2 linked regions of the Notamacropus eugenii genome follow. The protein of the gene in region 2 interacts with the protein of the main gene of each other region in a biochemical or structural test. Links are inferred from orthologs where the notes say so. Each region holds a gene or a part of one and is shown on either strand. Other genes may lie near its edges.

The links.
Region 1: of the proteins of IFIH1 (region 2) and TRIM65, one has a biochemical effect on the other in vitro, tested with the Homo sapiens proteins (2 studies listed by BioGRID, with this or other methods). The link is inferred for Notamacropus eugenii from reciprocal best matches to the Homo sapiens genes IFIH1 and TRIM65.

What each region holds. Positions count from the first base shown.
Region 1 is NC_092873.1:342,108,693-342,115,916, forward strand, and holds the start of TRIM65 (E3 ubiquitin-protein ligase TRIM65), read right to left. Parts: upstream 3,019-7,224; 5' UTR 2,652-3,018; coding exon 2,238-2,651; intron 1-2,237. UniProt on the Homo sapiens protein: E3 ubiquitin ligase that plays a role in several processes including innate immnity, autophagy or inflammation.
Region 2 is NC_092876.1:221,886,411-221,894,036, forward strand, and holds the start of IFIH1 (interferon-induced helicase C domain-containing protein 1), read right to left. Parts: upstream 3,011-7,626; coding exon 2,116-3,010; intron 1-2,115.

The DNA.
Region 1 (7,224 bases), on a different chromosome or scaffold from region 2:
GTGCAACATGACTAAGGTGAGAATGTATTTAATAGGAATGTTATGTGTAGAACCTATATAAGATTGTACACCATCTCAGGAAGGGAGTGGAGAGGGAGGGGAAAAAAATCAAAGATACATGGAAGTGATTGTAGAACACTGAAAATAAATAATTTAATTTAAAAAAACTTAAAAAAAAAAGAACCTTGTGCTAAATATATGTAAACCATCTCTATGACTTCCTAATCTCAGCACCAGGTCTAGGCAAAAGGAAAGGATCCTGGCTCATCTCTTATCATTTCTCTCCCCTCCTAACTCCAAGACCCAACACTCCCTGAAAATCTAATCAATTAGCACAAAGAGACAAGCAAACTGGCTAACTTGTTATTTCCTGAACTCACCATTCCATGTCCTGCTCAAATGCTTTCCAACAGTTTTCATAATCTCTGATTATGTGGCTCACTGTTTAGGTTTGGATGGCTTTAAATGAATGTAAAAGGCAACGGTTGTCTGTTCTGGTAGAAACTTGGAGGGTCTTCACCTCCCAGACTGATATTTTGGTAATAGTAAATTGGGCCATCTTTTGTCCCAGATCTTACCTCTTAATTATTGAATGGTCTTGTGGCCTCAGGCAAATTGAGACCTGGGAAAGATCTCAAGGTTCACAAACAGCATCTTGGGCCCCTCACTTAAATCCAATTCATGTGCAAGTCAAGAATTCATCTTTGGTAATATCATTGGTCCTCTTTGAGAAGGAAGGATGAATACACCACCACCAGCAACCCAGCTAACTAATGGCCATTTCCTACTGACTGTGCCCCCTAGGCGTCTCCGACCACCGCCCCAACTTCCTTGTCTCTGATAAGGGACCATCCTCCCGTAGCTCCCTGACCTGCGTGCGACTTCAGGGTCTTTCTTGACGATCCTTCTCCTCCCCTGGAATGCCTGGAAAGCATTTCCTCCTCACCTCAGCCTCTTAGAATCCCTAGCTTCTTGCAAGGTTCAACTTAAGTGCTTTGCTGGTTTCCTGATGTGTGAGCGGTCTCTTCCTCTTCATATATATCTATATCTATCTATCTCTGTAGCTAGCTAGATATAGATATATAGATAGACCTACAGATAGATATAGATCTTTATATAAATATATAAAGAGATAAATATCAATATAGATATCACTATTGATAGTTGTATAAATATATAGGTGGATATAATGGTAGATACATATATTCAATATAGATATATATCTCTCAATATAGATATATAGGTAAATATCAATATTGATATATAAATCAACATAGGTATATATAGATATCGATTTTGATATCTATCAATACATATATAAAAAATCTGTATTGATCTAGAGATCTATATATGTATATATGCACATTACATAGACAGATATGCGTATAAACACAGATGTATATAAGTAGATAGATATATACATGTATATATACATCTCTATAGAGAATATATATATGTAAATATTTATGCCTGGGATTTTGGACACAAGAAGCTACATATTTAAAAGGAAAATAATTGTCTTTTCAGAGCAACTTTTTTTTCTTCTGTTATACATTTTGGCTGTGAGTGTCACTGAGCTGGTGGACCAATTCAAGATACTAAGTCTTGGTACCTTACTCAGGTGAGCACAGTTTTCTATGAGAAAACAATCATAGGTTTTAGATTAAGTGCAGAAAATGTCCTGGATCATTATGGATGTCTTTGACAGTCACTAAAGGAACTGGAGACTCATTAATATATACTCACTAAATGACTCTTACATAGCCAAGGGTGTTTCTAGTTTATTTTGATGGATTCACACACACACACACACACACACACAACTTTAAAACGTAATCAGGTAAACTTTTTGAAGGGCAGGTATGGATTGGTGTTGTATCTTTGTATTTTCAGCACCTGGCCCATTTATTGTAGGCGATCAAAAAATGATGGTGTTTATGCATGTTCCATTTCATTGGATCTACAGAATAACACCCTGTGTGTGTGTTATCAGCATTTCACAGATGGGATAGCTGAGGCTGACACTGGCTAATGGCTCGTCCCGGATCACACAGCTAGTCAAGTCTGCATCGGGATGTGAGCTCCGGTCTCCCCGACTCCAAGCCTAGCGCTCCACTAGCCACTGCGTTCCACTGCCGCCTTCGCAAGCTGGGTCAGGCTGTGGTTGGGAATGGGCGGGCTGCGTGGAGGTTCGGTCCACACTGTCCTGGCTCTGCCCACCCCTCCTGCACCCTCACCTCCTGCTCCTTGCGCTCCACATCGAGCAGGGCGCGCTGGTGACCCTGGCACTGGCCCACCGTGCAGGCGCAGCAGATGCACAACTTCTCGGTCCGGCAGTAGAGCTCCAGGGCTCGCCCATGCCGGGGGCACCGGGCTGCCCCGCTCGGGCAGGGCACGGGCTCCCCCACTGCCAGCTGCCCTTCGGTGGCCCGGAGGGTCTCCACCACGTCGCACAGAGCCCCGTTTTTGTGCAGCGCCGGGCGCTCCGTGAATGGGGTCCGGCACTGGGGGCAGTCCACCTCCTGTCTGCGCCAGTAGTCTTCGATGCAAGCCCGACAAAAGTTGTGGCCGCAGGGCAGAGTGACCGCTTCCCGGTACAGCTCCAGGCAGATTGCGCAGACCAGCTTCTCCTCCAGCTGCAAGGCAGCCATTCCTTCGCTCTGGCCAGAGGAGGGAGAAGCTTCAGGCCCCAGGAAGGAGAGTTCTGGGGGTGCAGCTAGGAACTGGCAGTTTCTCGCAGCGTGCAGAGAGAAGAACAGAGGGCTCGGCCCGCTCTCCCGGGCTTCTCCCCTCCTTTGAGGCTTGGGCTGGGTAACCTTCCGTAGGATCTCTCCTCCCCCTTAGGGTAGGGGTGGGGGGCAAGTCATGGGGTGCAGAAGTGTGCTTTCAGAAGCTACCAACCACCACACCCCGGAGTCCGGACTAGATTTAGAGTCTGACCAAATTTCTCTTCTCCTAAAGTCTGGCTTCTAACCTCTCCCAGTTGCCCACCCACTTCCTGTTTGTCTCCTCCTTACTTTGCTCTTGCCCAGAGCCCTGTCAATCATCTTCTGCTTCATGTACCTCCTCTTCCTCCCGGTCTTTCCTGTTCTGTTATTCTGACCTGCCTATCCTTGGCTGGATGGTCACTCAGGGCTAACGACAAATGGCAGCCATCCCTGTCCCTGCTCTTTCTGCAGCCATTTATGAAGCACTATGTGCCTAGCCCTGAAGATACAAAGACAAGAGTAAAACTTTCCCTAGCCTCAAAGCACTTTCATTCAAATGCCAATGCAGTACAAGAATATACAAAACAGACCCAAGGAAATGGGATGATGTTGGGGGGGGGGGGGGAGGGTAAGGGTGGAGTTGCAAAGGAAGGCAGTAGCCTCTAGGGGAACCCAGAAAGTCCTCATACAAAAAATTAAGCTTGAATTGAATCTGGAAGGCAATCAGTATTTCCAAAAGTCAGAGATGGGGAGGGAGTGCATTTCAGGCACGGGGGACAGTTAGAGAAAACATCCAGAACAATTTTCTAACAAATTACATACAACAAAATAATAAAGCAAACATACAGACATGTATTGATAAAATCCTTTACATCTTCACATTTATAAAATAATTTTCGTGTTATAAAATAAATCTTTATTATCAGTAAGAAAAAAAGGCAATTTCTCCCTTTAGATCAAAACACCTGTTATGAGAAATTTTGCTTTTCTTTCATTACTTTTTAACATTTGGAGCTCAGGGCCATTCCTTTTGCAACTTTTGGTTAACTAAAAGCCTGTCTTCTGTTAATATTAACCTCACCTGACTAAAACTTGATTCACGATAGTGTTAAAAACTATTTGACATTACTCAGATAGAAGTCAAAGGGGAGTCTGACCTTCCAAAAGTGATGTAGTTATTTGATGAAGGATCCCAAGTGGTTGTTTCCTTAGGAAAGTATGAGAATATGATTCTGCTTAACTAAGTTTGTTCAATGTTTTTAACACTGAAGGAAGCATGGGATCATATAGCTGTCTTTTTCATCTTTTATGGTCTAAGAGGATGTATGAGATTGCAATATGCAAACAAATTATTTTTCTGCCTCTGTAATGTAATTTTGTCTCTAAAAAGTCTTATTAGAATCCTAATATTTGTTCAGGGTTATTTTTTTTTAAATCCTGAACCTGTGCTTAAGCATAATAAAACCTAAGACATTGCCTGTATAATTTCTGCAGTAGATTTATTTCAGCAGCAGTAACCTACCACAAATTCAAAGAAGGGACATTTTTCTCTCATAGCACATCCTCTAGCTTTAGCACAAGAAAGCTAGAGGGCTTTGCAATTGTAGTGTCCTTTCGGATATCAAGGAGATATACACAATGAAAATGGATACCAGGTGCGGGTATTACATAACATACCTCCACTTCCTTCCAGGGAGCCATTCCTTGAAACAAAATGAAGAAAGAAAGAAGTTTCACAAACTAAAAAACATCCAAAAAAAAAAATCTTAACATTATATGTAGTATCCCAACACCAATGTCTGTAAAGAGGGTGGGAGAGTGTCTTCTCATATCTCTTCTTTGGGGCCAACCCCATCATTTTTAAGTTTGTAGCATTCACTTTTGTTAGAAACACACTCAGCAGAGTTCAGAGGAATTGAATACTTTGGCCAAAGCTGGCCCCTACCACTACTCAGTATCATTGTTGAGTCCTTGAAAGAGAAGAGATTTTCTGAGTAGGTTGAAAACAGGACTGGGCAGAAATCCAGGAGACTTTGACTCTCCACAACTCTGCCTCTAGTTAGCTACAAAACCTTGGGCAAATAACTTTCTTTTTGGGTCCCATTTTCCCCATTTGTAACCTTGGACTCCTTTTACAAATGTTATTTTAGATGACCTCTAAGATCCTTTCCAACTCTTGCCAGATGAGCTATATATTGTTAGTTCAAGACAGATCCTCCCATAAGGAGATGGATTGATCCATTTTCTAGTAGGTCACCATCTTCTCTACATGCCCACTATGTAACCCCGCTTAGTGTAATTCTCCTTCCCAAACATGATCAGAAAATGGAGGGATAATTTTATGCGTGATGTGTCTGCTTATCTGCATGAAGTTCATTAAGCAAGTGCAGTGAAGAAAAGCCTTCTCCAGGTAACTCTAGGTCATTTTTCTTGGTTAGTTCCAGCGAACTGTTGATTTGGTTCCTCAAAAACTTTGTAATTTTCTGAAGGCCACTGTCTGTCTTTGGACTGATTGAGTTCACCTTTGGTCAACTCTTATTATCTAATTTATTCTCAATGACTTCATCAATCAACAATAACTTACTGTGGAAATTTAACGTTTTGCTGTCTCACAACTTTCAGTTGCTTTCTTGTTCTTCCCACTTACATAGATGTAGTCATGGAATGAGTTGATCCAAAATGTTGGTCCACAGCCAATGTGGAACCGGGCTGCAGTTCTTTCACCTAATGATGAATATCTGGTCACTGGATCCAGATGGCTCAGGAGGAGAAAGTGAGGCTGGTGACCTGCACAGCCCTCCCTCACTCAAAACAAAGTCAAGCGCAAGTCACGTCATCATTTCTCTGATGGCATGGTCTTCTTCAGCAACGGAGGATGAACACACACACCTCCACTTCCTCCTAAGGAGCCATTCCTTGAAACAAAGTATGGAGAAGAAAAAAGTTTCTGGTGGGGACAGAAATCCTTAAATTGTTTCTCTCTTCAGTCTTCACAAAGTGAACCCTCACATGGACTGATAAGAGAAGGCTGTGACTGACCAGTAAGAGTTTCTCTTCTGAGGAAAAAGAAGGAAATAGGCACAGCCCTGGGATATATAAAGCATCAGAAAGGCAGATACAAGGGTAATGGTGGAGCAGGAGGTACATTGGGAAGCTGTATCGGGAAACCAGGAAAGCATAGTGTTCATCATCACTGAAATGAAAACAGAGCATCACCATTAAACTCAATAATTTTAGATTCCTGGGCCATAGGATCCTGTTTTGCTGAGCTCACTCAGAGGGATAGCCCCATGTCTGGTGATTTCTCCTTCCCTTCCTACCTGGGGAAGGCAAAGGCATGGTAGAAAGAAAGTTACCCAATCTTCTTAAGAACTTGTTTTGTTTTCTGTTTTGCCATTTGTTTGAAAAGAAACCATTTCTGTAATACTGCATGGTCATTCATTGAAGTACTGATCAGTGTTTATCTTTGAGGGTTGGAATATAACTGAGAAAAGGAGTATAGTCTGTGAAAGAGCTTCATAGATTTTAGCTGATGCTGGGAGCCATTCTCCAGATAAAAATGGAAGTCTGGAGCAAGAAGAGAGATTTTACTGATACATGTTTGTATACCTTTTCCAAAACAGAAAAGAGCAAGAGAATCTGAGCCAAAACCTAGACCCAGTGAGCCTGAAGTAGTTTTGAAGAGGGAAAGCAAATGATTTAGAGCTGGAGCAGGGTTGGGGAATCTGTGGCCTCAAGGCCACATGTGGCCCTCTGGGTCCTCAAGTGTGGCCACAAGTTCCCCACTCCTAAGAAAGAGTAACCTTCTGGAGCAGTTTTCTCAAACATATTCTATTCTATTTTTTTCTTCTTTTGGTATGTTTGAAAGGTAAACTATAACTAAAGGTAAACTATAACAATGCTCATCCATTGGGGAAGAGGTAAACAAACTGGCATATGAATATGATTGAACATTACTGGGCTACAAGAAATAATGAACATAATGAATAGAGAGAAGTGTGGAAAGAAAGGGACTGATGCAAAGTAAGCATTAGCAGGATATATGTAGAAGCAAGAGAACAACATACACCATGAGTATATCTATGTAAGTGGAAAGAACAAGAAAACAATTGAAAATGAATGCTGCAAAATTAAAAATGGTGGGCTTGGCCCCAAAGAAGAGATATGAAAAGACCTCCCTTTTTACAGATGGGGCAGACCATGGGCATATAATGTTAAGGGGCTTTTTTTAGATATGTTTTTTAGTTCTGTGAAACTTTTTTCTTTCTTCATACTTCGTTTCAAAGAAAGAATGACTCCTTGGGAGGAAGTGGAGGTAGGTAATGTAAATACACACACACACACATATTTAAAATTTTATATAAAAAAAACCAAAAAACCATTTTCCACAAGGGTTGAAGCCAAAAGCATTGCCAAGGGAAAGGCTAAGATGAGTGATGATACTACCACATAAGGTGCCAGCCAAAAGAAAGCAACTAGTACTACTTATCAACATTTTTAATTTTAAACCTCTCCT
Region 2 (7,626 bases):
TTTGGTTTTTAGTCTTTTTATAACCTGATCTCTTCTGACCTTTTCAGCCTTTTAACATTTTAGTCCCCTCCACATAATCTGAGCTCTAGTAACTCTGGCCTTCTTGATGCTCCTCAAACAAGTTACTCCATCTTCAGACTCCAGGCATTTCCCACCCCCACCCCCCATACCATACCAATCCCCATTCTCATCTCTACCTCTGTTTCACTGGCTTCAAGTTTCAGCTAAAATCCTACTTTCTACAGGAGTAGGGCTTTCCTGACTCCCCCTTAATTTCAGTGCCTTCCCTCTCTTGATTATTTCCACTTTATCCCATACATAGCCGTTTGCATTTTGTCTCCCCTATTAAACTGTGAGCTTCTCAAGAGCAGGAGCTATCTTCTGCCTTTTTTTTTGGTATTCCTAGCATTTAGCACAGTATCTAACACATAGTACAAAAATAAATGAGAAACAAGTGATGCCTATCAACTGGGGAATGGCTAAACAAACTATGTTATACAAACATAATGGAATATGACTGCGATGTAAGAAATGATGAATGTGGTGAATACAGAGAAGCATAGAAAGACTTACATGAACATGATAAAAAGTAAAATAAACAAAACCAGGAAAATCTACACAATGACTACAAGGTAAATGGACAGAACCACAAAATAACTGAAAACGAATGCTGTAAAATTGCAAAGAATAAGTTTGGCCCCAAAGAAGCTATTAAAAAAATCCATCTTCTCTCAATATTTTGCAAAGATGGTGGAGAGGTTCACAAGTATGGAATACTGAATATATTGTCACATTTTTTAAAAATTTCATTGATTAGGTTTGATTTTTTCTTTGAATATTTTCTCTAATGTAAAAACAATTTTTAACATTGTTTTAATTTTAGTTCTAAATTTTCTCCCTCTCTCCCCTCCCTCCTCTCTGAAAGAGAAAGCAATTTGACATAATTAGACATGTGCAATATCAAACATATTTCCATACTAGTTATGCTGTGAAAAAAAACTCTACAGATCTCCCCCCTAACCCAAATAACAGTAACACAATAAGATAAAAAACAGTATGCTTCTATGTGCATCCAGACACCATCAGTTTTTTCTCTGGAGACGAACAGCATTTTTCATAACGAGTCCTTTGCAAATGTCTTGGATCACTGTATTGCTGAGAATAGCTAAGTCAGTCACAGTTGATCATCATACAGTATGGCTATTACTGTAGACAATGTTCTCCTGGTTCTGCTCACTTCACTTTGTATCAGTTCATGTAAATCTTTCCAGGTTTTTCTGAAATCATCCTGCTTGTACCCCCACAAGGGGTACAGTCATTACCTAATTGATGTTTTTTTTCTTACTTTTCTAATTGTTATATAAGTTGGAGGGGAAGGATTGGGCAAGATAATGGAGTAAACTTAAGTGACATAAAAATAAGATAAATTTTAAAAGTGAGTATAAAACTATATAAGCCATTGATTCCATACTGAAACCAAAGGCAGAGCTCTTACTCAATACGTCAGAGAGGTGTGGCATCTTTGACCTGTTAAAAGGCACACTGATTCCTGCAACATAGGAACGTCTCCCTTTCCGTTTTTAAAATACCAAACATTCTCATTAAAATGTCTGTATTATGAGTTTTTCATGACATAAGCTACCACATAACCACTGCTCATACTGAAAGATGGGACTGGACAGGGATCATGAAGCCCTGAGTACAGCTAGCTACAGAGTCATTCTCTTACATCCTCAGAAGCAAAATGCCCCCACTTTAAAAAGTCTGTCTTTGATAACCTTTTATGTCTAATCAATATTTATTTGGCAGGGGGGGGAAGGGGCAGGGATGAAGTAAGAGAACAGCTCTCTCGCGTCATGGATCCTAAACTTCCAAGTGGACGAACGCCTCAGAAGCCATCTCGCCCAGCTCCCTCCTGGGGCACACACAGATCGGGTGATCTGCCCAAGATCGCAGAGGCAGACCAGATCTGAACTGGGCTGTCTTTTCACCTGGCCAGGTGAGCTATCGGGTTCTCAAGGAATAACTCGGTCAGAGGTGCCCCAGAATGCACACAGGTGCGCGCACACAGGTGTGCACACCGGGGGCAGGAGAGGGCTCTTTCTGAGGAGGCACCTACCCGGTTCCGGTCTTCCTTCGTCAGCAGATCCTTCTCCAAGCACCTGTCCACCACATCAGCGGCGTGCAGCTTGTCCACCAGGGTGGGCTGCAGAAGGTCCAGCAGCTGGACGCACCGGTCGTGACAGGTCTCTAAGGACGGCGAGGGCAGGTCGGCGAGGTCCGGGCTCACGTAGCGAGCCGCCAAGGGGCAGCCCCCGTTCTGAAGCCCCGTGAGGAACTCCCGGGTCCAGCCGGGCCCCCACGTGCCTCTCTCCAGGGTGCTCAGCAGGACCTCGGCCGCGGCCGTGTTCCCCTCCGAGGCCGCGACGTGCTGGATCTGCTCTTTCTCCGCTCTTCCCAGGAAGGTCAGGTAGTCCAGCACCGGCTCCACTCGGATGTACCGCTTCAGCCTGGGCCTGAAGCACAGGAGCAGACTGCGGAAGGTCTCCTCCGGGGAATGCTCCCTCGACATCTCGCCCGGGTCGTGGGCAGCCCAGGGGCCCTCGGCGCGCTCCTGCGAGCCCTTCCCTCTTCGTCCTGCCTCGGCGCGGACCGTGGGTTTTACCGGAATGGCTCCGGCTGGCCGGCCTGCGCGGCGCTGAGTGCCCTGGCGCCCTGCTCCGCCAGGACTGCCCGCGGACACAAGGAGAGCTCCCTGGGCAGCTCTACCGGCTCGGCTCGGACCGGCAGGGCCCCCGGTCGCGGTGACACCACCTGTCTCGTCCCACAGCCCAAGCGCCGGCTGTCCGCGGGGCCAAGCTTCCGCCTGGTGGCCTGCGGGGAACTTAGTTTTTAAAGTCTGAACCGGGACAATTTCTGTTTCGATTCCCGGCTTCCAGAGCTTCCGTGCGTGAAGAGAGGGGCGGAGCCAGGCTGCGGCTGGGGAGGAACGTATATACGGACAATTCATGCAGACCTGCCTATTCAGAGGCAAAATAAAGTAGGTCTTTATTGGGTGAAGGAGCGAGCAGCAGCTCTGCGCTGAGTAGGAGGCAGAGCCCCCGCGTCCGCCAGGATCCTAATTCTAGCAGCCCCGGGTGCATGCCCCAGACTCCCCTCCGGGCCGGGCCGGTTACGGAGACCTTCATTTTCTCCTTGATAAGATACAGGAGCGGGGCTAAACGATCTCCCAGGGCCCTTCCCGATTTGACTTAAGATTCCCCAACTTCCCTTGCTTGCTTTAGAGAAGACTGAGAAAGGCTTCAAGTCCGTGAAAGACGTATACAAGCCGTCAGCGCTTCTGTTCCCAACAGATGCAGTGATGGGTTCGGGAAAGTGATGCAGGAAAATTTGGACAGCTGGGTGAAAGTCTGTAAAGAGCGCACTGCAGCGTGAGAGGTAGGTGGAAGAGCTCTCCATCTCCCTCCTCCTCCCTCTTTCTCTCTGCCTCCCTCTTTTTCAGAAAAAAGTACTTTCTTTTTAGACTTCAGATCTGTCGGAGACATTTTATTAATGTATATGGTGGTACAATGGATAGACTATTAGACTTGGGTCAGGAAGACCTGAGTTCAAATTCAGCCTCAGACACTTACTAGCTTTGTGACTTCAGGCAAAGCTCCTACCTCTCTCAGCCTCAGTTTCTTTATTCATAAAAAGGAGGATAAAAATAACGTCTACCTCACAAGGTTGTCATGAGGACCAAGTGAAGTAACATATACAAAGTACTTCACAAACCTTGAAGCGCTAGATGAATGTTAGCTGTACACACATATATAAATGTATGTGTGTGTATGTACACCTACACACACACACACACTCTCTCTGCTAGTTGGAAGGAGAGATAAATGGCACATTTACCCCTGCTAATTGAAACTCCCCCTCCCCAGGCAAGCTCTTCATACATTTTATAGTTTTCAGAAACAAAGACAAAATTTCACAGTCAAGATCAAACAAATTTCAGAATTTAAGGAACAGAATGTAGGTAACACTCAGATGGATCAAGTCCAGTGATATAACAGCATTCAGTCCCTCTTTAACCACTGCCTCTAAGGACTGTCTTTTACTCATGATCAAAAGTGAAGGAACGAATGAATGCCATTTATTAAAAACTTACTATATTGCAAAGCACTGAATTAGGGATAGGGACACAAATAAAAATTTAAGACATTTCTAGCTTTCAAGGAGCTCCCATTCTAATGGGGAAGAACGTATAGATAAGTTTCAGCTCCAAGTCAGATAGGAAAGTCCTAGGTCCTTAGGTTGTAATGGTGAAGCATATGGTAATGCATCATGTTCAGTGTCATTTCCATTGATTAACTCATATCACTTTGTCATGCTGAACAATTTAACAGGGTCAAAGATTTTGGAAACAATAATCTTCTTTTCTTGGTATTAAGTAGCTGTGGTTGCAGCATCCACAGAAGCGGTTGCTATATGTCCTCGGATAGAGGAGAGAGAAGTCTTGGAATGACTGAGGTGAAGGCTGGGTTGGAAACCAAACTGATGGTCTGGGGGTCTTGTCATTTCTGGGATTCTTGGGCTTAGATACTCATAGACGGCAGATGATCAGTTACTGGTGAACTCAAGTGAAGAGACATTTCTATCAATTGAATTTAAAAAAAACTTCCTTCTCATAAATCATTGTGCTAATTACTTCAAGCAGGAGTCCTTGACTAATCAGGCTTTTCTCTGTAGAAACTAATTGGGTTTTCAATGAAAATGATTTTTGAAAGATGTCAGTGTAGGACATTGTTTCAGGATTAACAATTAAAGAAAGACTTTTAAAACTTTAGATTAAAGTATGCTCCTAATATTATTTTGTAATATTAGGAGGGGAAGGGGGGGGATGGGGACATTGAGCTCGGTTTCCACATGTTTCTTTACAACTTTTACACATAAATAGAGGGCAATAACATCTAAGGTAAAGACTACTCTATGGAGTTGACATCTCCCTAATCCCATCAATCTTACACACTGCTCCAATAAAAATTTTTATAAAAAACACCATTATCTATATATCATTCAAAAAATTTCTGCAATAGTCCACTATCAAAGTTCCAGATCTTTAGCCTAGCATTCAAGGCTCATCATAATCTGGCCTCTACCTCTGAAATCTTATTTGTCAGTATTGTTCAACACTAACTCTATGGGTCAATTCATTTTTTCACCCTTAACACACCAGGCGCATGGCTATCTCTTGGTATGTTTACTCACATCTGATCGTTGAATGGAATTGAATTTCTAAAATACTTTCCTAAATTTTTTTCATGCCCTACAGGTTCTTCAAAGCCCAGAACAAACTGTGTTTCTGATGGGGTGCTTATGCTCGGGCCCCATTTCCAAGATCACATTTCTCCCCAGCTTCAAAACACTAAGAGTTTTCTCCCCAGCCCAAGGACAGTATGCCTAGCAATAACTCACGAGTGGGCCCCAGGAAGACAAACTATCTTTCCCCATCACAAGAACAAGCTGACCTCTGAAGAAATTCTGTTGTAAAAACAGGACTATCTTGTAACCACAGAATTATCATGTATTGATTCCCAAAGTTATCATATTCAATCCAGAGGTCAAGTTATAGAAATCAACTCTCAAAGCTACCTTACCACAGATGTAACACCAAAAATACACCCCTTAAAAACCTCTTCCCCTGGTTTCCAGTAGTGAATGATGCCAGTGACCAAGGTTGCAAGTTATCATCTAATTAGCATATCTGCCAGATAATCCATTACTTTTCCTATATAAGTTTTAGCATCATTCCTGTTAAGTTGCATGAAGCTCTGCCCTCTATATTGGTGTTACAATAAACCTTTGCTAATTTGACTTAAAGAATACTTGAGGGGGGAGGAGCCAAGATGGCGGAGTAGAAAGACACACATATGCTAGCTCCAAACCCACAGCCCATAAAATATCTGTAAAGAAGAACTCCCAACAAATTCTGGAGCAGCAGAAGCCACAGAACAACGGAGCAGATGAGATTTCTGTTCCAGAGAGCCCTGAAAAACCGATGTGAAAGGTCTGCCATGCCCCAGACCCAGAGCAGAGCCCAGCCCTGCCTTGGCCATAGCACGGAGAGGAGCAGATCCGAGCAGGCTTCAGGGACAGAATCTCCAGCAGCCACACGGGTCCGTTCACCCACAGGTGACAAGGGTTGGTGAGAGGGTCTCTTTGGCTGGCCAGGAGGGGAGTGGGGTGTCCCTATAACTCAGGCCCCCTTGGGAGACAGCAGCAGGGGCAGCAGCAGACAGGGGCTCCCCAAGCAGGCAGGAGCCCGGATTCATTGTTGAAGATCTCCACATAAACTCCCTGAGGGAACTGAGCCCCAAGTGGCGGCCCTGCCCCCACCTGAGCACCTGAACTTAATCTCACACTGAATAGCAACCCCGCTCGCACCCAAAGCCCTGAGGCTGGGAAGCAGCATTTGAATCTCAGACCCTGCTGGCTGGGTGGATCTGGAGGCAAGGTGGGTGAGGAAAGAAAACTCAGAAGTCAAGTTACTGGCTGGGAAAATGCCCAGAAAAGGGAAAAAAAAAATAAGACTATAGAAGGTTATTTTCTTGGTGAACAGATAATTCCTCCCTTCCTTTCAGATGAGGAAAAACAATGCTTACCATCAGGGAAAGACATAGAAGTCAAGGCTTCTGTATCCCACACATCCAAAATAAATATACATGGGCTCAGGCCATGGAAGAGCTCAAAAAGGATTTTGAAAATCAAGTAAGAGAGGTGGAGGAAAAACTGGGAAGAGAAATGAGAGAGATGAAAGAAAAGCATGAAAAGCAGGTCAACACCTTGCTAAAGGAGACCCAAAAAATGCTGAAGAAAATAACACCTTGAAAAATAGGCTAACTCAATTGGCAAAAGAGGTTCAAAAAGCCAATGAGGAGAAGAATGCTTTCAAAAGCAGAATTAGCCAAATGGAAAAGGAGGTTCAAAAGCTCACTGAAAAAAATAGTTCTTTCAAAATTAGAATGGAACAGATGGAGGCTAATGACTTTATGAGAAACCAAGAAATCACAAAACAAAACCAAAAATATGAAAAAATGGAAGATAATGTGAAATATCTCATTGGAAAAACAACTGACCTGGAAAATAGATCCAGGAGAGACAATTTAAAAATTATGGGACTACCTGAAAGCCATGATCAAAAAAAGAGTCTAGACATCATCTTTCAAGAAATTATCAAGGAAAACTGCCCTGAGATTCTAGAACCAGGGGGCAAAATAAGTATTCAAGGAATCCACAGATCACTGCCTGAAAGAGATCCAAAAAGAGAAACTCTTGGGAACATTGTGGCCAAATTCCAGAGTTCCCTGGTCAAGGAGAAAATATTGCAAGCAGCTAGAAAGAAACAATTCAAGTATTGTGGAAATACAATCAGGATAACACAAGATCTAGCAGCTTCTACATTAAGGGATCGAAGGGTGTGGAATAGGATATTCCAGAAGTCAAAGGAACTAGGACTAAAACCAAGAATCTCCTACCCAGCAAAACTGAGTATAATACTTCAGGGGAAAAAATGGTCTTTCAATGAAACAGAGGACTTTCAAGCATTCTTGATGAAAAGACCAGACCTGAAAAGAAAATTTG